5 linked regions of the Sus scrofa genome follow. The protein of the gene in region 3 binds, or shares a complex with, the protein of the main gene of each other region. Links are inferred from orthologs where the notes say so. Each region holds a gene or a part of one and is shown on either strand. Other genes may lie near its edges.

What was found.
Region 1: the proteins of GNA13 (region 3) and ADGRD1 are in contact, whole or in part, in a cryo-EM structure (PDB 9V0U), measured with the Homo sapiens proteins. The link is inferred for Sus scrofa from reciprocal best matches to the Homo sapiens genes GNA13 and ADGRD1. Residues at the interface, in NP_006563.2 of Homo sapiens: Val49, Val216, Phe218, Phe359, Val362, Lys363, Asp364, Ile366, Leu367, His368, Asn370, Leu371, Gln373, Leu374, Met375; in NP_942122.2 of Homo sapiens: Asn599, Arg601, Leu657, Met660, Val661, Ile662, Val664, Phe665, Ser667, Val737, Ile738, Ile741, Ala761, Val764, Asn810.
Region 2: the proteins of GNA13 (region 3) and GPR35 are in contact, whole or in part, in a cryo-EM structure (PDB 8H8J), measured with the Homo sapiens proteins. The link is inferred for Sus scrofa from reciprocal best matches to the Homo sapiens genes GNA13 and GPR35. Residues at the interface, in NP_006563.2 of Homo sapiens: Lys46, Arg47, Leu48, Val49, Lys214, Asn215, Val216, Phe218, Arg331, Gln337, Gln338, Lys340, Pro341, Leu342, Tyr343, Phe359, Arg360, Asp361, Lys363, Asp364, Ile366, Leu367, His368, Asn370, Leu371, Lys372, Gln373, Leu374, Met375, Leu376; in NP_005292.2 of Homo sapiens: Phe45, Gln51, Thr53, Thr55, Met59, Asp113, Arg114, Ala117, Val118, Pro121, Leu122, Arg123, Arg125, Arg128, Ala197, Leu198, Arg201, Pro202, Thr204, Asp205, Gly207, Gln208, Ala211, Ala215, Met218, Val219, Ala280, Lys281, Glu282.
Region 4: the proteins of GNA13 (region 3) and S1PR2 are in contact, whole or in part, in a cryo-EM structure (PDB 7T6B), measured with the Homo sapiens proteins. The link is inferred for Sus scrofa from reciprocal best matches to the Homo sapiens genes GNA13 and S1PR2. Residues at the interface, in NP_006563.2 of Homo sapiens: Arg47, Val216, Phe359, Lys363, Asp364, Ile366, Leu367, His368, Asp369, Asn370, Leu371, Gln373, Leu374, Met375, Leu376, Gln377; in NP_004221.3 of Homo sapiens: Ser66, Met68, Tyr69, Leu72, Arg130, Ala133, Ile134, Lys136, Val137, Lys138, Leu139, Tyr140, Tyr209, Ile212, Val216, Ser219, Gln227, Thr228, Leu231, Leu232, Val235, Tyr288.
Region 5: the proteins of GNA13 (region 3) and GPR4 are in contact, whole or in part, in a cryo-EM structure (PDB 9JHP), measured with the Homo sapiens proteins. The link is inferred for Sus scrofa from reciprocal best matches to the Homo sapiens genes GNA13 and GPR4. Residues at the interface, in NP_006563.2 of Homo sapiens: Arg47, Pro341, Tyr343, Phe359, Lys363, Asp364, Ile366, Leu367, His368, Asn370, Leu371, Lys372, Gln373, Leu374, Met375, Leu376, Gln377; in NP_005273.1 of Homo sapiens: Gln45, Asn50, Arg115, Ala118, Val119, Ala120, Pro122, Leu123, Ala126, Ile204, Val208, Ser211, Val212, Ser213, Thr214, Glu218, Lys221, Ile222, Leu225, Asn290, Glu291, Gly292, Ala293.

Annotation. Positions count from the first base shown.
Region 1 is NC_010456.5:24,238,085-24,243,097, forward strand, and holds the start of ADGRD1 (adhesion G-protein coupled receptor D1), read right to left. Parts: upstream 3,187-5,013; 5' UTR 2,559-3,186; coding exon 2,493-2,558; intron 2,402-2,492; coding exon 2,365-2,401; intron 1-2,364. UniProt on the Homo sapiens protein: Adhesion G-protein coupled receptor (aGPCR) for androgen hormone 5alpha-dihydrotestosterone (5alpha-DHT), also named 17beta-hydroxy-5alpha-androstan-3-one, the most potent hormone among androgens. Also activated by methenolone drug.
Region 2 is NC_010457.5:139,588,561-139,592,545, reverse strand, and holds the end of GPR35 (G-protein coupled receptor 35), read right to left. Parts: coding exon 3,338-3,985; 3' UTR 908-3,337; downstream 1-907. UniProt on the Homo sapiens protein: G-protein coupled receptor that binds to several ligands including the tryptophan metabolite kynurenic acid (KYNA), lysophosphatidic acid (LPA) or 5-hydroxyindoleacetic acid (5-HIAA) with high affinity, leading to rapid and transient activation of numerous intracellular signaling pathways.
Region 3 is NC_010454.4:11,963,652-11,968,352, reverse strand, and holds the start of GNA13 (guanine nucleotide-binding protein subunit alpha-13), read left to right. Parts: upstream 1-1,439; 5' UTR 1,440-1,763; coding exon 1,764-2,046; intron 2,047-4,701. UniProt on the Homo sapiens protein: Guanine nucleotide-binding proteins (G proteins) are involved as modulators or transducers in various transmembrane signaling systems.
Region 4 is NC_010444.4:69,049,563-69,052,478, reverse strand, and holds the end of S1PR2 (sphingosine 1-phosphate receptor 2), read left to right. Parts: intron 1-431; 5' UTR 432-473; coding exon 474-1,529; 3' UTR 1,530-2,083; downstream 2,084-2,916. UniProt on the Homo sapiens protein: Receptor for the lysosphingolipid sphingosine 1-phosphate (S1P). S1P is a bioactive lysophospholipid that elicits diverse physiological effects on most types of cells and tissues.
Region 5 is NC_010448.4:51,976,598-51,981,499, forward strand, and holds the start of GPR4 (G-protein coupled receptor 4), read right to left. Parts: upstream 3,335-4,902; 5' UTR 3,200-3,334; intron 2,912-3,199; exon of another isoform or gene 2,778-2,911; intron 1-2,777. UniProt on the Homo sapiens protein: Proton-sensing G-protein coupled receptor activated by extracellular pH, which is required to monitor pH changes and generate adaptive reactions. Activated by an optimal pH of 6.8-7.2.

The sequences.
Region 1 (5,013 bases), on a different chromosome or scaffold from region 3:
GTAGCCATCCCCACACTGTCGGATGTCTTCCCTTCAGGGACAGGGTCACTGCAGGTTGACTGTGTGCCTGGGTGTATGCTTTTGGGAAGAAGGGCTGGGGATCGGGTTTCCTCCATGGGGGCTCCTCTTAAGATGCTGCAGGCTCCAGGGGGCGGAAGCAGACAGGCATCAGGCCTCCCAGGTACTGCTGGTGCACAGGGGACGGGGGTCAGCTTGTCAGCAGGAAAGGGGCTGAGCGGAATCCAAGATGGAGGAAGAGAAGACAAAAGAAAAGGACTGGAGAGGGAGAGGAAGGAAATAAGGGGAAAGAATGACAGGAAAGAAAAGGAGAGAGGGAGAGAAGGAGGAAGGAAAAGGGAGGAGAGAGGAAGGGAACGAGGGAGGAACTCGAACAAAGGATGGAAGGGAGGGAGGGAGAAAGAGAGAGATAAAGAAAGAAAGACACAAAGAAAGAAAGAAAAGACAGAAGAAAGGAAGGAAAGAAGGAAGAAAGAAGAAAGGAAGAAAGACACAAAGAAATAAAGAAAGAAGAAAGGAAGAAAGAAAGAAATGGAAGAGAGAAAAATGGAAGAGAGAAAGAAAGAAAAAAAGAAAGAAAGGAAGGAAGGAAGGGATGGCAGAAAGAGATGGCAGGAGGGAAGAAGGAAGTAGGGAGGGATGAAAAGGAGAGGAGGCAGGAGGGTTTCAGCCACAGGGAGTTAAAAAACCCAACTAGGTGTTGAATAAATGTTAGGCTTCATCTTTATTCTAAAAAGGAAGGAGAGAGGGAGAAAGAGAAGAAAGTAGCGGTTTAAAAAGTGGGAGTGAGGGAGGACAAGAACAAGAGCGAGGGGGCTGGAGACAGAATTCAAGGAGAAAGAAACTGATGAGGCAGCGCAGAGTTTTAGAACCCCAAACCCCAGAGCTCCCGGTTTCCATGCCAGCTTTGTGGTGTGTACGGCTTCTTTTTAGTAGTATTTCTATGATTGTCAGTATTATTATTATTTCTCTAAGGTAGCTAGCTGACTGAGGAATCAGGTTTTGCAACCCTGCATTAGGATGTGAGAGAAGAAGTTTCTCTGTGGAACTAAGACTGAGTTTGAAAGCTGAGGGTGAAGGATGCGAGTGGACGTGGCTGGCATGGCCAAGGCACAACTTCCTTTCCACCCATGTGCCAGGGGTCTTATGGCTGCCTTGTCACTCTGCCTGATGTTGCTGGCCAGGATTTCTCCCTCATCTCTCCCGGGAAACCAGTGTGAACTACGAGGCGTGGATCGGAGGGGCACACACTGCCTCTCTTTAATGCGATGCTGGATGATTTATTTATCCCCAGACCTTTCTTTCAGTACTTTGGCTGAGGAAAGGGGAGCCCTCAGCCTGGAAATTCACTGCCTTGGCATCCTTTTCAACAGAAGGTTTCACTTGAACGTGAGGAAGAAAGAGAGACAGCAACATCTGTACCACTGAGATGGGCAGGTGAAGGCAGTGATGAGGACTTGATGTGTCAGCACCCACCATGAGTGCCAGGTCACTCCAAAGGGGACAGAGCTCCATCCCATGTCTACCGGCACCCAGCACAGTGCTGGTTCTTCCACCAGACCCCACCTGTCTCTTGGTCCTGGCTTCACACCTGGATGGGACCAGGGATGCTGTGCCCACAAGCTCTGGTGGGACATGAAGACAGACAGGGCTGTTTGTGGTAATAATCAGGGCCCAAGACATACCCCCCCCCACCCACCTTGAGGCTGAGCAAGGAATTGGGGACATTAGCATGGGGTCTCCTCCGCACCACGCACATGCCAGCCAAGTAGCAAATGGGGAAAAGTGACAGCAAAGAGAGTTCCCACCACCATCACACACACACACACCCACACCCCACCCAGTTGCAAAGGGGCAAGAAAGGTTTCACACCTCTTCCATCCTCCCCAAAGAAAGCCTCATGGTGATGCTTCCAGACTCAAGACTCAAGCTGGCAAAGGGAAAGCAGACCCAGGGAGTGGGCGAGGGGTTTCCTCGGAGGGGCTGGAGGAGTTAAGCTCCCACAGGAGGGACAGGGACAGAACGAGGCAGGGAGCACTCGGTCAGTTCACATGAATCCCCGCTGGACACCCATGATGTGAATCAAAGACAGAAGATGCCCACCTGAGAACACCCCATTTCCTGAATCACAGGGTTCCAGATGCCCCAGATCCAGGGGCTTCCAGGCGCTGAGCGTCCTCCACCAAGTCGGAGGTGGAAGATGATGAGTGACCCAGAGGGCAAGGTGTCAGGGCAGCTGGCAGGGGTCAGGGGAACCCCCACCCAAGAAGGCCCCACAGTCTTACAGACAATAAACAAACTAATTCCAGACCCCCAGCTCACAAGATGAGAGGGAAGCCGCCTTACCTGGATGGGCTTGTGACCTGGCATCGGCTCCATGCACCTGCACACAAAACACCACATTGTAAGACGCAAGGGGAACCTCCCAGTGGAGATCCAGTCCCATCTCAGCAATTATTACCTGGGGACATTACCTGAAAATCGCAATAAAATAACAGCAGCCAGGAGTGCCAGCAGCAAAGAGGCAGCAGCTTCCTCATTTTTTTTTTTTTTTTCCAGAGGTGAAAATGTGATCCCAGGGGGATTCCTGAGGGTCCGTGACAAAATGTCCCCCTTAACTTTCACTTCCTTGGGAAAGGGACATTTTCACAGGTTCCGGAAAGAAAACAAAACAACAACAGAAAAAACATGTATTTCACTAGAGTCTGTGAGATTCAGGGAGTGAACGCAGGCAGTAGTGGGGAGTTAATGGGTGTTTCTTCTTCGTCTCCAAACGTGAAAGTCCTCAGTGATCCACAGACACATTGGAAGGACCAGACCAGCCTTGGGATGCGGGGAGAAGAAACACAGCCCCCGTCACAGTCCCGAGAAGCAATCCCGGGCCACAGATGCAGCACAGAGGTTCCAAGAGCAATCGTGATTCCCTCAAGGTTTTCTTTTTATGTCAAGACAATTCATCTGTCTCCATCCAGGTTCAGAGTCGGATGTTTCTCCTTTTTCCTTGAAGCGCAAGGAATTCTGTCTGGAGCTCCCGTGGGCTCCTGGGCTGGGGCGTCGCTGCTCAACTCCTTCTGGTGTGACTCAGGCTGACACCTCGTCCGTCTGTCTGCTTGGGGTGGGGAGAGTGAGTGGTGAAAGAGCTCTCCTCAAACTTTGTTCTGTTCTGCTTCTCTATTTATAGCCCGGCCAGCGCTGCTGGTCCTTCCTGGGTCCTAACTCCGGTCTGTTAAGAACCACTGGGAAGGTTTTCTGGATCTGAGGTTTGGAGGCAGACCAGACAGACATGGGGTGTGTGTGTGTGTGTGTGTGTGTGTTAGATGCCTTCCATCATGGAGTTCCCTTCGTGGCTCAGTGGTAAAGAACCCAACTAGTATCCATGAGGACACGGGTTCAACCCCTGGCCTCACTCTGGGGGGTTAAGGATCTGGCATTGCTGTGACTGTGGTGTAGGCCAGCAGCTGCAGCTCTGATTAGATCACTAATCTGGGAACATCCATGTCCTGCAGGTGCAGCCCTTAAAAAGATTAAAAAGAAATAGAAATTTAAAAAATAAGATGCCTTCCATCCATACCCTCAAAGTCAGCATAAATATGAATACATAGAAAACATACAGCAAACCATAAACTCAGCTTAGAGCAGAATCTTGTTTGCCCAAAGAAAAGAAATAAAGCGACCTAGGGATGGAAAAAGAAAATAAACCGCACCCCTGTGCCCTCCACATAATACTAACCACATTTTCTATTTAACCCTTTCAGAGGTGAATGGAACTATTTACAAATTACACTGTGGGTTTACACCCCCTCCACATCCAGGATAGTGTTCTCAAGGTAATAATAGCAGGGCATCAGATCCTTTGCCAGCCTAAACCCACTTTATTAGAGACCAAAACTTTGCACAATCTACAATGCTTCCATGTCCACACACACACACACAATTTTATTCACAGCTATAATGTGCCATGTGATTAAACTAACACTTACCTCCCCGTACTGTCTCCGACACTTGCTAGCTGTGTGTTCTCAGGCAAGTTACTGAACCTCTCTGTTTCAAACTTCTCATCTGTAAAATGGAGGTACTAGTTCCTGTTCCCCGGGGTTGTAACAAGAAATGAGATGATACATATAAGTCTCTCAACGCAGTGCTTAGAAAATATGCAGCACTCCATAAATGCTAGCTATTTTTTGCAAAGAAAAAGATCACTCAATAAATGTTAGCTGTGATTATTATTATTACAAAGTAGAAAATAACACCATTAAATGCTAGCTAATATTATTATCTTTTAGTCCTGACTTTAAATGGGAACAGAGTCCAAGTATTTCCTAAAGAGGATATGAAAATGACCTCCCATCTCCACCGGGGAGAAAAAAAAATGTAATGTCAAGCCCATGAGGTGATTATTTTTAACTTGTGCCCTGCAGCGTACTACCTTCGGAAAATTAGATTGCCTGACCGTCCCTGCACAGGCGCAGCAGGTTTGCAGAAATTTTCTGCACATGTTTCTCTATCTCTTCACACTTGAAAAAAAAAAAAATGATGAATTACACCGTTGTCATTACAACCTTTATCCTGTCACCTAGGCTGATCGCCTCGGGGAAAACTAATTTACAACCCTTATCTCTGCATTTTATCAGTTTTCATTCCATCCAGCCTCCCTCTGCAAGTAAAGGAAAGATGCCTGAGGAGTGGCAGCAGATGCAGATTTTTCTCTGACCAGGTCTTAATTTACAAAGAATTAGACAGATTGCTATTTAAATGGACCTCTCCCATTTCCTAGACTGACCTCCTTTAACCAGAAAAATCATCATCAAAGGCATCCCAATACAATAACGGTAATACCATAACAGTAATAAAAACTGGATACACTGCAGCAACATGGTTGCAACTAGAGATTCTCATACGAAGTGAGGTAAGTCAGGCAGAGAAAGACAAATACCATATGATATCACTTATACGTGGAATCTAAACTATCACACACATGAACCTATTTACAGAACA
Region 2 (3,985 bases), on a different chromosome or scaffold from region 3:
CGCGTTTGGGAAGCGAGAGGGGTGGACCAGCGGACCCCAGCCCCAAAGAAGAGAAGCTTCGAGGAGGCGGCATCTGGGGACCCTCCCCGCCCCTCCCCTCTCCCAGGAAAGGAGGAGCCAGCAGCGAGAAGGGGTGGGGCCTTGGTTGTGGGCGGGGCCTGGGGCAGAGGGGCGGGGCCTGGAGCCTAGGGGACGGGGCTGCTGTCTGGCCCCGCCCCTGAATACCGATGCTCCGCCCCTGCTGGCCAGGGCTGCCCTATCCCGCCCTTCCGTTCCCTTGGGGCGCTCACACACCCGAACCAGGCCACCCTAACTCCCGGAGGCCCCCTTTCTTACCCCTTGAACAGCGCCCTTAGAGCGTCCCACTGAATCCCTTGGCTGCCCCGCATCGAGGTGGGAGCCCTCATCCTGGTCACCGCCCGCCGTTGCGACTCAGGACTCCCCCCCTCGCCATCCTGGCCCTGGACGCTTCTCCCTTGGACCCCCCAGAGCATCCTTGCGTCCTGGCCCCGCCATCCAGCGTCCAGCCGCAGCACAAGGAGGTGCCACCTTGCCGGAACCGCCTGACTCCTCTGACGCACACCCTCCCCCCCACCTTCCGGACACCCAAGCCCTGCGTCCCCCTGTCACGGCCTGGCCCACTTCCCAGCCTCTCCTCTCCCCACCCTCCCCATGAGAGACCCTAGGAGCACCCCCAGTCCTGGAAAGTGGCAGGTCTAAAGGCTCTAGCAAGTTCTCTGCCATGGGTCAGCAGGGGGGCCAAGGCCTCACCTCCTCCTGCCGCCCAGCTTCCACTCTGGCCAGCGGCAGCCTCAGGAGGCGGGGGCAGGGGCTGTGGGCACTGCGGCTGCTCCTGAAGGTTGGGTTCTTGTCTCGTCGAAGAAAGAATTCAGACATGAGACGGAGATTTTGAGAAAGGAAACGGAGGATTTATTTTAAGTGAGAAATACACCTTTTAAGGAGAGGCGGCCAGAGAGGCGAGCAGCTGTCCTGCGTGTGTTGGGCGCACCCGTTACATGGGGCATCTGATTTTACGGGCGGGATGGTCACTGGGAAGTGGGGCTTGGGTGTCATATTCCTTATTGTCATCCCAGCTTCACCTTCCCGAAGGGAGGAGAGATTTTTGTCCATATTTAGTATATCGGGAGTGTCATGGCATCAGCGTAGGATGGCTGCTTCTTATCTGCGTAGCTAATTTTATGACCATTTTATTGTAATGAGGGCATGATGAGCAACAGGTGATATCTGGACCCTGGAGATTCACACCCTGTTCCACCTCTTCTTGTCTGCCCCCAGGGCACCTGTCCCCAGAAGCTCTGGTTTCCTCTCAGCCTGGAGGTTCCAGCTTCTCTTTGTCCCCCAGGACACTGCTGTTTGCATGATGTGTGGTTTCCTGCCCTCTGGCCCCAGGCCCCCTTCTCCTGCTCTTACAGTGCCATGTAAAAGGCCCACCAGTGGCCATCAGAAGTGCCCTGGGCACCTACCACCATCTCACTGAACCAGGGTGGTGGGGGCAGGTGAGCACGGCCAGAGCCGACAGGTGAACCTGCGCCTCCTGGGAGCAGAAGACCCCAGTGCCAGGCTGCAGGTGGGGCCCCTGCTCCTATAGGTGTTGCCCCAGTGGACGCTCTGCAGGACCCGTGTGGGGTGCCCTCCCGGCCTGGACACTTGGCCCCGGACTGCAGGATCCCGTCAGGCTCGGCGGCAGCAGACAGTTGCCACCTGGTTGACTTCGCAACGTGAGTGTCTGTCCACCTGGGCAGGTGGCAGCCGAACACCCAGAGTGCCAGGCCCTTGAGTGGCAGGCCCAGCACCAGGAGGAGGCAGATGGAGACGCTCGTTGCCCTGGGACACTCTGGTCCATGCTGCAGCCACTAGAGTCCTTCCTGGGGCAGCGGCCACAGAGTGGCTGCTGATAGTCTGCCAGGGGCGGGAAGTTGGTGGGAGCTTCAGCGGGTTCTGGGGTGAGGAGGGCCCGGCCAGGTGGAGCTTCACTGGGCCCGGGAGAGGGTGCTGCAGCCTTTCTCTCCCCCCCTCCCCCCCTCCCTCTCCCACTTCCGGTGCCAGCCCCGGGACTCACCTGATCGGGGCGAGCCCTCACCTAGCCTCAGGGCTTTCCACCAAGGCCCCCTCCAGGCTGCGGGCCCACCACCTCCCCACCCACCCCAGACAGACAGGGGCTCTGTGGTGGGGGTCCTTCCTGGGTCTCTCCATCCAAGGCTTCCGGCCAGCCCAGGACCTCTGTGGGTCTGCCCCAGGCCATGTGGCCCTGGGTAAGGTCCATCGTCCAGTGGCCCTGGGAGCGGGGGTGCCCAGCTGGTCTGGCAGGCAGAGCTGGCCCCTGGTCCTTCCTCAGGCACCCAGGGCACCCAGTAGCTCTTTGGGACCCTCTGACCCTTGCGGCTCCCAGTCTGCAGGACAGCAGGAGGGGTGGCACGCGGCGGTGGGGGGGTGGCACCGGGGCCGGGGGCCGGCCTGGAACAGCTCTCTCCGTCTCTCTCCCCTCCCCTGACCGCCTCCCAGGGTCCTCTCTCCTTGTCCTTCTCATGACCTCCCCTCTCTGGCCCGTCCTCTCCTGTGGTCCCTGTCCCCCCCTCCCGGTTCCCTCCACACCCCCCCTTCCATCCTGCTTTCTCCCCATCCGTCTCTCCTTCTCTCCCTCTCTCCGTCGTTCTCTAGTCCAGAGACCGTCTCTGTCCGTAGCGGCTCCTCCCCTCCCCAGGCTGAAGCGTAAGATGGGGCTCCTTCCAGCTCTGGCCCTGGCAGAGGCCGTGTCCCCTGCCGGACACAGAGCTAACTGTCCCCTCCGCCCTCCCTACGCGTGGTCTCTGAGTTCAGGACCAGCTGCCCACACTCAGGCCTGGCCCAGCGGCAGATAGAACTCCAGATGGGTGGGGGCGGAAGGCCTGTGACGTAGGTGGGGGCCCCTAGGGGAGCCCTGGGCAGTCACCGGGGAAGATGCCCCTGGTGCGGGTGTGGGTGGCACACACAGTCTTCTGGGGGGCTTTATTCCGGCCCCTGTGGGTGGCGGCGGCAAGCTGGCCATCAGAGCCTCCTGGTGCCCAACAGCCACCCCCGCCCCGCCCAGGTGTCCTGGGCTCTGGGCCCAGCACGGGTGCCCAGGGCCCCTGCGGTGGCCTTGCTCAGGCCTCAGCCCTGCCATCCTCCCTGTTCCTTTTCCACTGGGCGGGGGCGGGGGGCTGTCACCTCCCCAGGCTCCATGCCTGGTTGTCCTGCCCACCTGGGCCTCCTGACAGCACCCCCCGCCCATGGCGAGCTCAGGGCTGGTCACCGGTCCCCAGCAGGCAGCACCTCGCGGAGAGCACCGCCTTGCCTCCTAGGCCAGGGTCACGCACAGAGAGTCCTGGCTCTTGTGGGCCTTGGCCCTGGAGGCCGCGGGCAGCACGGACGCCTCCCGGAACTCCTTGGCCATGTAGTAGTAGCAGACGGCGTCCAGGCAGCAGTTGGCGTCCGAGAGTCTGCCAGTGATTTCCATGGCGAGTTGGCCGACACAGGGGGGCAGGCCCACGGCCACGCGCAGCGTCAGCACCACGTGAAGAGGCAGGAAGCAGACCACGAACACCACCAGGTTTGCCAGGACCATGCGGGCGGCCTTCCGGCTGGTCGCCGCCTGGCCCGCGTCCGCGGCTGGCCTCCGGGCCAAGGTGGCCACCACCTGCAGGGAACAGAAGCCCAGCACGGCCAGAGGCAGGTAGAAGCCCACCAGCGAGAAGGCCGGGGTGTGCGAGTTCTTCCGGGAGGGGCTGGTGAAGCAGAAGCCGCCCTCCTGCCTCTCCAGGAACCAGCGCAGCGTCAGGGAGCCGAGCACCAGCGCCCAGAGCGCCAGGCACACGGCCGCGGCCTGGCGCGGGGAGCGGAGCCTGCGCGCCTGCAGCGGGTGCCGCACGGCCACGTAGCGGTCCACGGCGATGGCCGTGACCAGGCTGATGCTCATGTACCTGTTGGCCAGATAGGTGCCCTGGGA
Region 3 (4,701 bases):
ACTTAACTGATAGGCTTCCCTCTTCCTGTTTTCGTAGAATTCAGATTAGCATCTGGAGTCCATATAGAAAGGGTGCTTGGAGGCCGGTGCTAGACCCCTGCCCTGGTTCATCCTTTCATGGGTGGAGAACAGAGCCTCCCAAACACTAGCTGAGGCCACAGAGAGATCTTGCAACCAGGAGAGACGTTTACCCTATATTTTACCTGAAGGCACCACCTAGTGATTCTGGCCCTAACAATCCTTAGATATTAAGAGTTGAACCTACACTACTTTGTATATTGTAGCTTGTCCACCCTGTGGGCTTGGCCAGGACAAGAGGAGATAATCCCACTACAGGCACTGTTTACTGCAGCCAGTTTACTGAGTCATGAGGCTCCTCGGACATTAACCCAACCCAGACAGTGAACTGATTAGCACTGATTTTTAAAATTTAAACCTGTTCCTGAGCCTCTTGGGAGTGCTGACCTCTTTCTTCAGTTTCTGACGCATAGACGTTTCTGAGCCACAGAAGTTCTCATCAAGGAACATTAGGGTTGTACTGCCATAAACGGAGACCACCCCAAAAGCCTTTTTGCACTTAAAACTAGAATACCAAGAATGAAGAAGTTGGCTTTTGGGGGCCAACCCAGCTGTCACTGGTCGCTTGTCTCCTGGCAGCCCTTCAGGTGTCCTGGCCTGAATCTGCTATTAGGATAGGAAAAAAGTCCCTTGGCTGGTCATATCCTCTGTAATCTGGCAGGAAACCTAAAATTTGCCGGCTCTTCTCCTCGGTCTGTTTGCTTATCTGCTTCCTTGTTAGGGAAGAGTCTGCATCACAGTGTCCGGTTAAGGGGGATTTTCACCATGACCTCACCCTACTGCAGCTACATCTTGATTTCAGCAGCTTGGGTTGGAATCCGCATCAATGAGACATCAACAACCCCTCCTCGCCCATCTCAGATTAACATCAACACGAAGTCTTTCTCCTCCAAGAGATGATCTTTGTAGGGCTCAGAGAATACCGAAGAGAGCTGCGGGCCGGTGTTGGGGAGGATGTGAAGATGTTTGGTTAACGTTTTGAGTTTGTGAGAGCAGGATGTCAAGGAAGATACTCTAGGAAAACGCACCAAAAACTTGCCCAACTCGCGCTCGCTCTTTGAATAACATTCAAGCCAATGGCCTCGAAACTAGGAGAGCGAACGATGACAGCCGGCGACCCGCACGTAACCGCGGCGGGAGCGGTTGGGGAACCCAAAGTGCTGCATCTGAGTTCTTCTCTCCGGGCCCCAGCCTCCAGGGCTCCCGGAAGCAGCCCTTGGGCGCGTAAGTGGGTGCAGCTAATTAAAGGGAAACAGAAAGGCTGGCTCTGCAAGGCGCCCAGCCCGAGATCACATGAACACAAGGCCCCACCCCTTCAACCCCTCCCCGCGCGCGCCTGACGGCGGCCGCGAATTCACAGTAGAACGTGATTCTCCGGCCCAGCGCACGGGTCGGAGGAGCCGCCGCGGCGTGCGCGCGCGCCCCCGGAGGCAGCGGGCACGCGCACGTCCCCCGGGCCACCGCCCCTCCCAGGCCCGCCCTCCTTCCCTCCCTCCCTCCCTCCCCGGCTCGCCTGGCCCGCCCTGCGAGTCAGTTCGCTGGTTCCCTCCCTCCCCCGGCGCGCTCGGGTCGCCACTGCGCTCCCCGCCCTCGAGCCGCGGTGCCGGAGCCGCCCGCCGCCCGAGGAGGAGGTGGAGGGAGCCGGAGGGGCCCGCCGAGGCGGCGGCGGCGGCGGCGGCGGCAAGATGGCGGACTTCCTGCCGTCGCGGTCCGTGCTGTCCGTGTGCTTCCCCGGCTGCGTGCTGACGAGCGGCGAGGCCGAGCAGCAGCGCAAGTCCAAAGAGATCGACAAATGCCTGTCGCGGGAGAAGACCTACGTGAAGCGGCTCGTGAAGATCCTGCTGCTGGGTGCGGGCGAGAGCGGCAAGTCCACCTTCCTGAAGCAGATGCGGATCATCCACGGACAGGACTTCGACCAGCGCGCGCGCGAGGAGTTCCGTCCCACCATCTACAGCAACGTGATCAAAGGTGCCGGGCCGGGGTCGGAGCCGGGGGGCCGGGGGCCGGGGGCGGCCGCGGGCCGGCGCGGGACCGGGCACCGCCCTCGTTCGCTCAGTCCCCGGAGTAGAAACGGGCCCGGCGGGCGGGCGCGCGGGAAGGGGGCGCGCCCCGGGCACCGACCCTGCCTGCCCGGGGTGCCCTTGCCCCCAGCGGAGGGGATGCCTGGGGGTGCCCCTTTTCCCTCTTGCTGCGGGGCAGGGATCCCGGCTGGCCCCCCACCCCCCACTCCGTCGCTGGCCTCGCCCCCTGCGAGAAGGGAAGTGAAGGGAGCCGGGTGCCGGGAGTGCGGGGTGCCCCCTCCTGTCTTCCCTCCTCCGGACGAGGCAGCAGACCCGAGAGCCAGCCCCAGACCCTACACCCTGACCCCACGCCCCAGCGCTGCCTGCCCAGCCTCGCCTTCCCGGGTGGGTGGGTGCCCGAGTCACATGGGATCGGGGCTGCTCCCACTTCCCTGCTTCCTTGGCCCTTCCAGTGTTCTGGAACCATCGCAATGAGGAAACTTTTGCCCGAGACTCTGGTCAAGGGCGAACGGTGACTGCTCTTGGACCCTTTGGGGCAAGGATATGAAACTTGAGGGTGTCCTGTTTATTGTACTGGCGTCAGGAAAGAGTAGCCCCATTTAGTTAGTCTAAAAAAGTTCGCAGCGGTGGTTTTTCGCCCGGGTGTCACGGTGGGGCAGGATGTTTGCCTGTAATCACTATGCAACACGTTCCACTCTCCTTTTGCTTAGTAACTGGGGGCCGGAGGGAAGGGGTACCACCACTTGCTTCTACTACTTAAATTAAACTGTGTGTTGATAATAAAGAATCTTTGGCCTAGAAGTGATGCAGAGCCTGTACAAGTTGAGTCAGTGAATCAGTGTCGGCTCTGCTTCTGTTTGTCAGTATTTTTTAAGTTAGATTAAGCCTTGTTAATAAGTGAAAAACGCACAAGAACTTTATTTCTGGTCTTTCAAAGAGCTAAGAGAAGAGGGATTTTATTTTTGTCGTTTGAGTGTTAATTAGCACTTCATTTTCTTTGTATCATATTTTCTACTTTATAAAAGGCATTTGCCAAAGTTGCGGTACGGAGTCTGGTACTTCAGGTGTGTCAGGATTCTCTCTGTTGCATCTGGGTAGCAATTATCTAGGAGTTCGCTATAGATTTCAAGCTTTTCCAAGCAGCATTTTTTTGAGTGGGATTTTTTTGTTGTTCAGGAAGTGCTTAAGTTACTCTCTGGTGTCACTTTTTTTTCTCCCAGGATTGAGTAGAGGAAAACTGCTTGGGGGGGGGGGAAGGGGAAGCTTTGTGAAGCTAATAACGGGGGAGAGCACTGCGCCAGGAACTCATAGACCACAGCCAGCCCTAGTACCTCTGCAGTTAAGTTATTAAAAAAAACCGGTTGTATTTATCCCTTCTTAACGTTTAGTAGTGCAACATTAATTGAGGTGTCTTTCAAAGCCGAAGACTCTGCCTAACCAGGCTCTAATTGAAGGTACCTTTGTATACCGATGCCCAAACTTAAGGAGTTCTGTCAGTGAATAGTTAACATGTTAACTGATTATAAGCCAGCTAAATAAACATCTGGCCCTGTTTTGTTTTTCATGTTTTGGTTTTTTTGTTTGTTTGTTTTGTCATTTTAGGGCTGCACCCATGGCATATGGAAGTTCCCAGGCCAGGGGTCCAATCTGAGCTATAGCAGTTGGCCTCTGCCCCAGCCACAGCTACAGCTATGCCAGATCTGAGCCACATCTGCGACCTACACCACAGCTCACGGTAACACTGGATCCTTAACCCACTGAGCAGGGCCAGGGATCCAACCTGCGTCCTCATGGATACTAGTCGGGTTCGTTTCTGATGAGCCACGACAGGAACTGTACCTGGCCCTCTTTTAACACCTGGTTCTCAATGTGCTCTGACTTCTAAGTGTGACCTACTTTGAGCCTTGATTATGAGATGAAGTCACTAGCCATCTACTTTTTTGAGTTGGCATGATCAGAAAATTGACAGCCAAACAGTTTTTCAGTTATCCAAACAAGTGACCTAAGAGCCATGTGATTATTGAGAGGGACTAAAAGTAACAGCTTAATGATAGAAATAATGGGTTTGAATTAATCACCATGAGTTTGAAATCTCTGTTTTTATACTGTTTTTGCAATTGGTCTTCCTCCTTTTAGGGAAGTCTAACTAAGGCCATCGTGTGCCTCACACTGATTTAAAGCTTGGTATTGGGAGTTTTTGAGTTTTGAATGTTTCCTGGAAGACTCAGCGTTGGGCTCAGCCGGTGCTCGGGGACCAAATAGGCCACAGGGCGACATTGTTTGTTGTTGACATTTCATAAATAAATATCTCTTTGAGGGACTCAGAAAACCTTGCAGATCCTTCTTCAGAGCCTGGACGTGCAGGCTGTACGTACAACTTTATCGTTTCTTTTTCCTTCACTAGTTTTGGTTCTCTGGTGACAACATTCTACGCAGAACTTACTTTATAAATGAGAACATGTTAAAATCCTTCAGGAAGTACTTGTGGTAATTGCATGTGCTTTTCAAAGCTCTGATTTTATGACTGTGAATAACAGTTTTTTTACACTGAGAAATTACTCTACTTTTGACTGTTAGTCTTCATTTTTGGAGGCACTGGGCC
Region 4 (2,916 bases), on a different chromosome or scaffold from region 3:
ATTGACCTCTCTGGTTTTCCTGTTGATATTAGTCGGGTTCTTAAGCTGCTGAGCCACAACAGGAACTCCCTCTGTGCTCTTCTTGAGCACCCACCTGCTGTCCCCTGGGCCCTTTCCGGGTCCCCCCTCCCCCGTCCTCCCCAAGATCCAGTTCCGAAGAGGTCACATGGGCCACCGCACTGGCCTCTGGGACCCTGCTGCAGCTCTGCCATCCAACTGGTTGGCGCCTCAGTCGGCCGTCCCAGGTGTGAAATATCAGTTTTCCTGATATTTTCCTGTCTGTAATGCAGGGATGATGATAATTCTGACTTCATGTGATCCATACAGTGGGGGAGTGACGGGGCTAGGACTTGAACTAAGGCTGTCCAGACTCAGTCCAGGCAGCAGCCACAGTACTAACCTAGCTGTCTCTCTGTTTTTTCTCTTTACAGCTGTGACAGCCCCATGGCCCCGGTCGGCCACTGAGCCCCACCATGGGCAACCTATACTCAGAATACCTAAGCCCCAGCAAGGTCCCAGAACACTATAATTATACCAAGGAGACGCCAGTCACAGAGACGCCCTCCCGCCAGGTGGCCTCAGTCCTCATCATCATCCTCTGCTGCGCCATTGTGCTGGAGAACCTGCTGGTGCTCATCGCGGTTGCCCGCAACAGCAAGTTCCACTCGGCCATGTACCTGTTCCTGGGCAACCTGGCTGCCTCAGACCTGCTGGCAGGCGTGGCCTTCATAGCCAATACCTTGCTCTCGGGCCCGTTCACGCTGAGGCTGACCCCTGTGCAGTGGTTTGCTCGAGAGGGCTCTGCCTTCATCACGCTCTCCGCCTCCGTCTTCAGTCTCCTGGCCATTGCTATCGAGCGGCAAGTGGCCATTGCCAAGGTCAAGCTCTATGGCAGCGACAAGAGCTGTCGCATGCTGCTGCTCATCGCCGCCTCGTGGCTCATCTCAATGGTTCTCGGCGGCCTGCCCATCCTTGGCTGGAACTGCCTGGGCCACCTAGAGGCCTGCTCCACTGTCCTGCCGCTCTACGCCAAGCCCTACGTGCTCTGTGTGGTAACCATCTTCTCTGTCATCTTATCAGCCATCGTAGCTCTGTACATCCGCATCTACTGCGTGGTCCGCTCCAGCCAGGCTGATGTGGCCGGCCAGCAAACGCTGGCCCTGCTCAAGACCGTCACCATTGTGCTGGGCGTCTTCATCGTCTGCTGGCTGCCCGCCTTTAGCATCCTCCTCCTGGACTACGCCTGTCCCGTCCGGGCCTGCCCCATCCTCTACAAGGCCCACTACTTCTTTGCCTTTGCCACCCTCAACTCTCTGCTTAACCCTGTCATCTACACGTGGCGCAGTCGGGACCTGCGGCGGGAGGTGTTACGGCCGCTGCAGTGCTGGCGGCGGGCAGCTGGGGGGCAAGGACGGAGGGACGGGACCCCGGGCCACCGCCTCTTGCCCCTCCGCAGCTCCAGCTCCCTGGAGAGGGGCACGCACATGCCCACATCACCCACATTTCTGGAGGGCAACACAATGGTCTGAGGGCCAAGTGGGCTGACAGTTAGGCTACATGGAGAGTCACTGGGTGACGTGGGGCTACCAGTCAAGGGGCCCCCACTCCACAGCCTGGGGTGATGTTGAAGATATTTCACACCTGGTATGGCCAACTGAGACACCAGCCAGTCGGATGGCAGAGCTGCAGCAGGGTCCCAGAGGCCAGTGCGGTGGCCCATGTGACCTCTTCGGAACTGGATCTTGGGGAGAATGGGGGAGGGGGGACCCGGAAAGGGCCCAGGGGACAGCAGGTGGGTGCTCAAGAAGAGCACAGAGGGAGTTCCCGTTGTGGCTCAGCAGCTTAAGAACCTGACTGGTATCAATGAGGATGTGGGTTCAATCCCTAGCCTTGCTCAGTGGGTTAAGGATCTGGTGCTGCCATGAGCTGCAGTGTAGGTCGCAGACACTGCTTGGATCTGGCATTGCTGTGGCTGTGTCATAGGCTGGCAGCTGCAGCTCTGATTTAACCCCTAGCCTGGGAACTTCCATATGCTGCAGGTACGGCCCTAAAAAGACCAAAAAAAAAAAAAAAAAAAAAAAAAAGCACAGCACAGGAGCGATTTCCCACCCAGTACAGAGGATTTCAACATTTCACAACCGTCTGCCTTCCCCTCCGCCCTGTGCCCGGACTTCCCTCTCTGAATTTACCCCCTTTGCCACCTTCTCCTTGCGATCTCAGAGGCCACTTCCCTGGAACCACTGTCCTGAGGGGCTGGAGACCTCCTCCCTGACCATTCTGGGCAGTCCCGGATGACAGTTCCCCGGGTTCCAATCCACAGCTTCCCTAAATCTCACCAGCTGCCACTTTGTTGACTTCTTCCCTTTCTTTCTGCCAGGAAACCACGTGGGGATGGGGGACTAAACCCCATTCTCAGACCTCATTGGCCATTTGCACTATTTGGGGCACGGGGGAATCACTGAGGTCTGGAAAAACCGGTCTGGAGGACTGAGGAGAGCTCAGGGCCTCCCAAGGGGGGCAGGGTGGAATTTGAGAAAGTTCTAGGGGAGCTAATGGCACAGGGCCCCCTAAACCCCCCTAAACAGCCAACCCCTAAGTTACTCCCACCTCCAGCCCCAGCCAAGGTACCAGATCTCTCAAGGCAGGGCAGCCTTGAGCCCGCTGTGCCTCCTTTGAGGTTGTACTGAACAGAGCATGGGGGTGAGGGTGCCAAGGACAATTTAGGATGCTCTCCTTTAACTCTGCTCCAGAAGGACTTTGCTAAAATCTGTGGCTAGATGGAAGGGACATTGCGGTACAAATGTATATTTATGTGTGTCGGTCAGTATCTGTGTGTGGCTTTGTGTGTGTGTGTGTGTGTGTGTGTGTGTGTGTGAAGGCTGTGATCCCGTCTCCTTGTCATGTTTCCCAGAATGG
Region 5 (4,902 bases), on a different chromosome or scaffold from region 3:
TCCGCTGGGCCTCAGTTTCCCCATTTCCACATGAAGGGGGTCCCCATCCCCCACATGGCCCAGAACAGGCACCAGGGTCCCCTGACTCTACCGCTCTGAGGTTCTACCTTCCAAGGCTCTGCAGTCCTGGAGTTCTATTGTTAGCCCTGCTCATGGGCTACTGTTCTATTATTATAACATTCTAGAGCTTTACCTTTCTCCCATTCTATTATTATTATTACCATGGTGGCTTTCCATGCCTTTACCCTTCTAAGTTTCCAATATTCCAGGAGGCTCACATTCCAAGATTCTCAAGTTCTATTGTTAGAATGCTCTAGGATTTTTTTTTTAACATTCTATGACTTTTGTAATCTATTAATAAACTCTCAGTGGTTATTACCTTTGCCCAGCAAACACAAATACATCTTTCCCTTCTCTCTCTCTCTGTTTTTGTTTTTTAGGGTTGCACCCTCGGCACATGGAGGTTCCCAGGCTAGGGATCTAATTGGAGCTGTAACCGCCAGCCTACACCAGAGCCACAGCAACGCAGGATCCGAGCCGCATCTGCGACCTACACCACAGCTCATGGCAATGCCGGATCTTTAACCCACTGAGCGAGGCCCAGGAAAGAACCCACAACCTCATGGTTCCTAGTCAGATTCCTTTTCCGCTGCGCCACAAGGGGAACGCCTCTCTTCTCTTTTTTTTACAGAAATGGGAGCATACTTGATAGACAGCAAACCCACTTCCTTTTCCCCTCCCTTACCTAATCTGTATTTTAACATTCCCGAAGCCTGAAGTTCCAAGATTATGCAGAATTCTAGGATGCTAGGATTCCATGGGGGATGGGCTTAGTCACCACATTCATCTGGGCCCTAAATTCTGCCCTCCTGGAGGGGACACTGGGAGCCCAGGCTGCCTCCTTAGCCCTGTCCAGCAGGACTCGCCTCATCCCTCCCCATTCACTCGCTCACCAGCTGAGTTATTATTTGTCTAGACACAAACCAAATTATAGGCCCTGTCCCGCGGGAGCAGTGGGCTTCATGCGGAGGGTCAGGAGACAGAGCCAGGCGGGAGTTAATCCCCCTACGTCCCCTCCCTTCTTCCCTCCTTCTCTGAAAACTCCACCCCTTCCACCCAAACCAACTCCTGTCTCCTCTCCCGCCATGGTTTTAGAAATATTTTCTCTTCTCTGCTTCTTAAAAAATGCTCCCTCCAGGGTTCCAGCCATCCACACTCACCCTGGCTGCTTCCTTTCTCCCTGTGAAGACCTGCTTCCTTCCCCACAAGGATCTGACTGATCTGACCCAGTGGAGGCAAATGAAGCCAGATTTCTGGATTTGGGCATCAGTGGAACTGGAGTCCCAACCCCAGCCTGAAATTGACCCATTGTGGGGACTTCTGCCCTTGGGCCTCAGTTTCCCCCTCTGTAAAATGGGCGGCTTGGTCTCACTGATTCTGAAAGCACGTTCGAGCTCTTGGCTGTGAACGCAGAAAACTGTCAAAAATTCCAGCGCTAATCTTTTCGGAATGAAGGATTCAAATACCCTAAGGTCCTTTAATTTGAAGGTCTGAGCGCCTCCAGCTCACCCCTCTGACCATTCTCACATACGTGGGTCCTGCAAAGACTTCACATTCAAAACTTCTTGGATCTATGATTCCCAGAGTTTGGGAGCCACCTCCCCCATCAATCTCTCTCATTTGCTCCTACTGGTACCGCCCCTAGAAAGGAAAAGCTTCCCATCCTAACCCCAAACCTGAGGTCAAGCTCATCTACAGAGACAGAGTTGGAGGGGGCCCTTGGTGACCTCAGGAGTGGAGCTGGTGGTGGACCCTGCAGGGGGTGATGGGGGTGTTGGTGGCCCCATCACCACCATCAGTGCCCTTAGGAAAATCCCCGCACATCCAGCCTGAACACAGCACACATCCCACAACACATGCCTCACAGAAATTCCAGAGCTGCCCTTCAGCTTGGTTGGTGTAGGGGGTGTCCAGTTCAAAACGGGGAGGGGGGTGAAGCTGAGGCAGGAAGGAGTTAACAACGGGTGACCCAGCCAAATCCTGGAAGGGAGGAAGTGGGGGAGGAAGTTCACCCCCCAGCCAAGAATTCCTGAAACTGGAGGGTGGGGTGGGTGTGATCTCAAGAGCAGTGGGATGACCCTGTTGAGGGGAGTCGGGGTCACAGGGTCCACCCGCCTCAGGTGACAACCCTACTGCCCCCTACCCCACTCCCGAGCAGCTCCTCAGCCCAGGGGAAAGCGCTGGGATTCGCCAGGATCTAGAAGGAGACCACGACGGGGTGAAATTGCCAGAACCGGGTCTAAGATGCAGAAAGACAGAGACAGAGATATACGGAGAGAGACAGAGAGACAGGAAGGGAGAGGGCAGAGATGCCCAGAGACGGGGAGACGTGGAGATGGAAGCTGAGAGTTCCGTAGAGACTGAGAATTCATCAAGAGGCAGCGGTAGAGGCAAAGAGACACACAGAGAGAGCCAGAGAGAGAGAGGGATGGCGAGGCAGAGATCGAGAAATCCACACAGAGACGTCCAGAGATGGAGAAGGAGAGACACGCCCAAGAGGGTGAAGGACCTCCGATGCCGAGAGACCTCAGAGCCAGACGGAGACCTGGAGACAGACCCAGAGCCGGAGTCGGCGGCGGAGACGCGGGGAGAGCCGGCCCCAGAGAGGGGCGGGGACCGCGACGGCGCGGGAGACCGAGGCAGCGCACGCGGCAGCGCAAAGCCCCCGAGCGGCGCTGCCGGAGCGGCCCCGCGGCGGCCGCAGGACCGGCGCCTACCTGCGCGTGGCGGCTGGACGGGGCGGGTGGCGCCTCTCTCGGCGGCTCGGGCATCTGGGCTCCACGGCGGCGCCGGGACCTGGCAGCGACTCCTCCCGGCCCCCGGGCCCGAGCGGCCGGCCGAGGCCCCGCCCCCCGGCCGGGCCCGCCCCCATTAACCCCTCCTTCGTCGCGCCCCTTCGCCCCGCTAAAGGCTTCCAGCCCTGGGGAAACTTCACCTGCCGTGGGGCACCCCCATCCCACTCCTTCAAGGTCCCCACGCTGGAGGCCCCGCCTCCTTAGCCGCTTTGCTTACTCTCCCTCCAACCTGACACCCCAGCCTGATCAAGCCCGCAGCCGCGGGAGGAAGGCGCCTCCCGCATGGAGTCTCCTGGAGCTGAACGTGTTCCTCCCTACAGAGACCCCAGGCCCAGGTCATTCACCTTCCGGTCCTTGCATCCCCGCCTCCTCCATGAAGGGGAGTCGGAAGGGGTCTGTTAGTTCCCGGAGCCCACGGAAGGAATCCTGGGGCGGGCAGCTCCAGCCCTGCCTGGTGGCCAGACTTAGGCTGGTGACCTCTCCGTGCTTCAGTTTCCTCTTCGGACAATGGGGTCCCTCTGAGTCCCTTTGTCGGGAGGATGTCAGACAATCAAGTCTGCAAAACATGATGGCCCCAGGCTTCCCTTCCTCCCTGCTTTGTTGGCTTGTCAGCACCTAACATTCTATGTCTGTCTGTCTTTCTTCCTCCCTTCTTCCTCTCTTTCTCCTTTTCTTTCTCTCTTTTCCTTCCTTCCATAAGCCAGCCTGTGATACATGGAAATTCCTGGGCCAGGGATTGAGTCCTAGCTGCAGCTGTGACGTGAGCCGCAGCTGTGGCAACTTGGGATCCTTTTAACCCACTACACCCGAGGGGTTTCAACCCACACCTCCACAGGCACCAGAGCCGCTGCAGTCACATTCTTTTCTTTTTTTCTTTCTTTTTCTTTTTCTTTTTTTGGTCTTTCTGTCTTTTCTAGGGCCACACCCATGGGATATGGAGGTTCCCAAGCTAGGGGTCTAATTAGAGCTGTAGCCACCAGAGCCACAGCAACTGGGGATCCGAGCTGCATCTTCGATCTACATCACAGCTCACGGCAGTGCCAGATCCTTAACCGACTGAGCGAGGCCAGGGATCAAACCTGCAACCTCATGGTTCCTAGTTGGATTCATTAACCACTGAGCCAGGGCGGGAACTCCCCTTTTTTGTCTTGTTGTCTTTTTGTCTTTTAGGGCTGCACCTGTGGCATATGGCATAGGGGGCCAATCTGAACTGTAGCTGCTTCTGGCCTATGCCAGAGCCATAGCAATGAGAGATTCAAGCCGCCTCTGCAACCTACACCACAGCTCATGGCAATGCCGGATCCTGAACCCACTGAGCAAGGCCAGGGATCGAACCCATGTCCTCATGGATATTAGTTGGATTTGCTAACCGCTGAGCCACGACGGGAACTCCTGCAGTAACATTCCTAACCCACTGTGCAGGGTGGGGACTAGATGTATTTCACTTTTTTTTTTTTTCCTAATGATCTGCCTCCCCACAAGGAGGAGTGTCATTTTTGTGTGTCGTTAGCATACCATTGTGTGTCTGTTGTCTAGAAAAGTGCCAGACGCATGATAGGTGTACAGTACCTGTTGTTGTCCAGGAGGGAGTGCAGGCATGGTGAGTGCTCCGAAAATATTTCCTGATGTTTCTTATCATTTCCTTCATACACTGGTCGTGAGAATTCATGCTGGGGCAAAGCACTTTGCACAGACCTGGGATGAAGCGCTCCAACATGACAGCAATTAGTCTTGCAAATTCTTCTTTTTGTTTATTTGATTTATTTATTTATTTATTTATTGTTTATTTATTTTAAAAATAAAAATGAAAAATGCCTGGATCTTAAGGGAGCAGTACATCGAGTTGTGGCACACAGATACGCCCATGTGACTAAGCACCCAAATCAAGACATAAACATTCAGACAACAGTGGGGGGTTTGCCCATTTCAAGGCCACCCTCACACTCCTACTTCGCTCCCAGAGGCAACAACTCCCTGGGTTTTTTTGGGGTTTTTTTTGGTTGGTTTGTTTGGGTTTTTTTTCTTTGCTTTTTTAGGGCCACTCCTG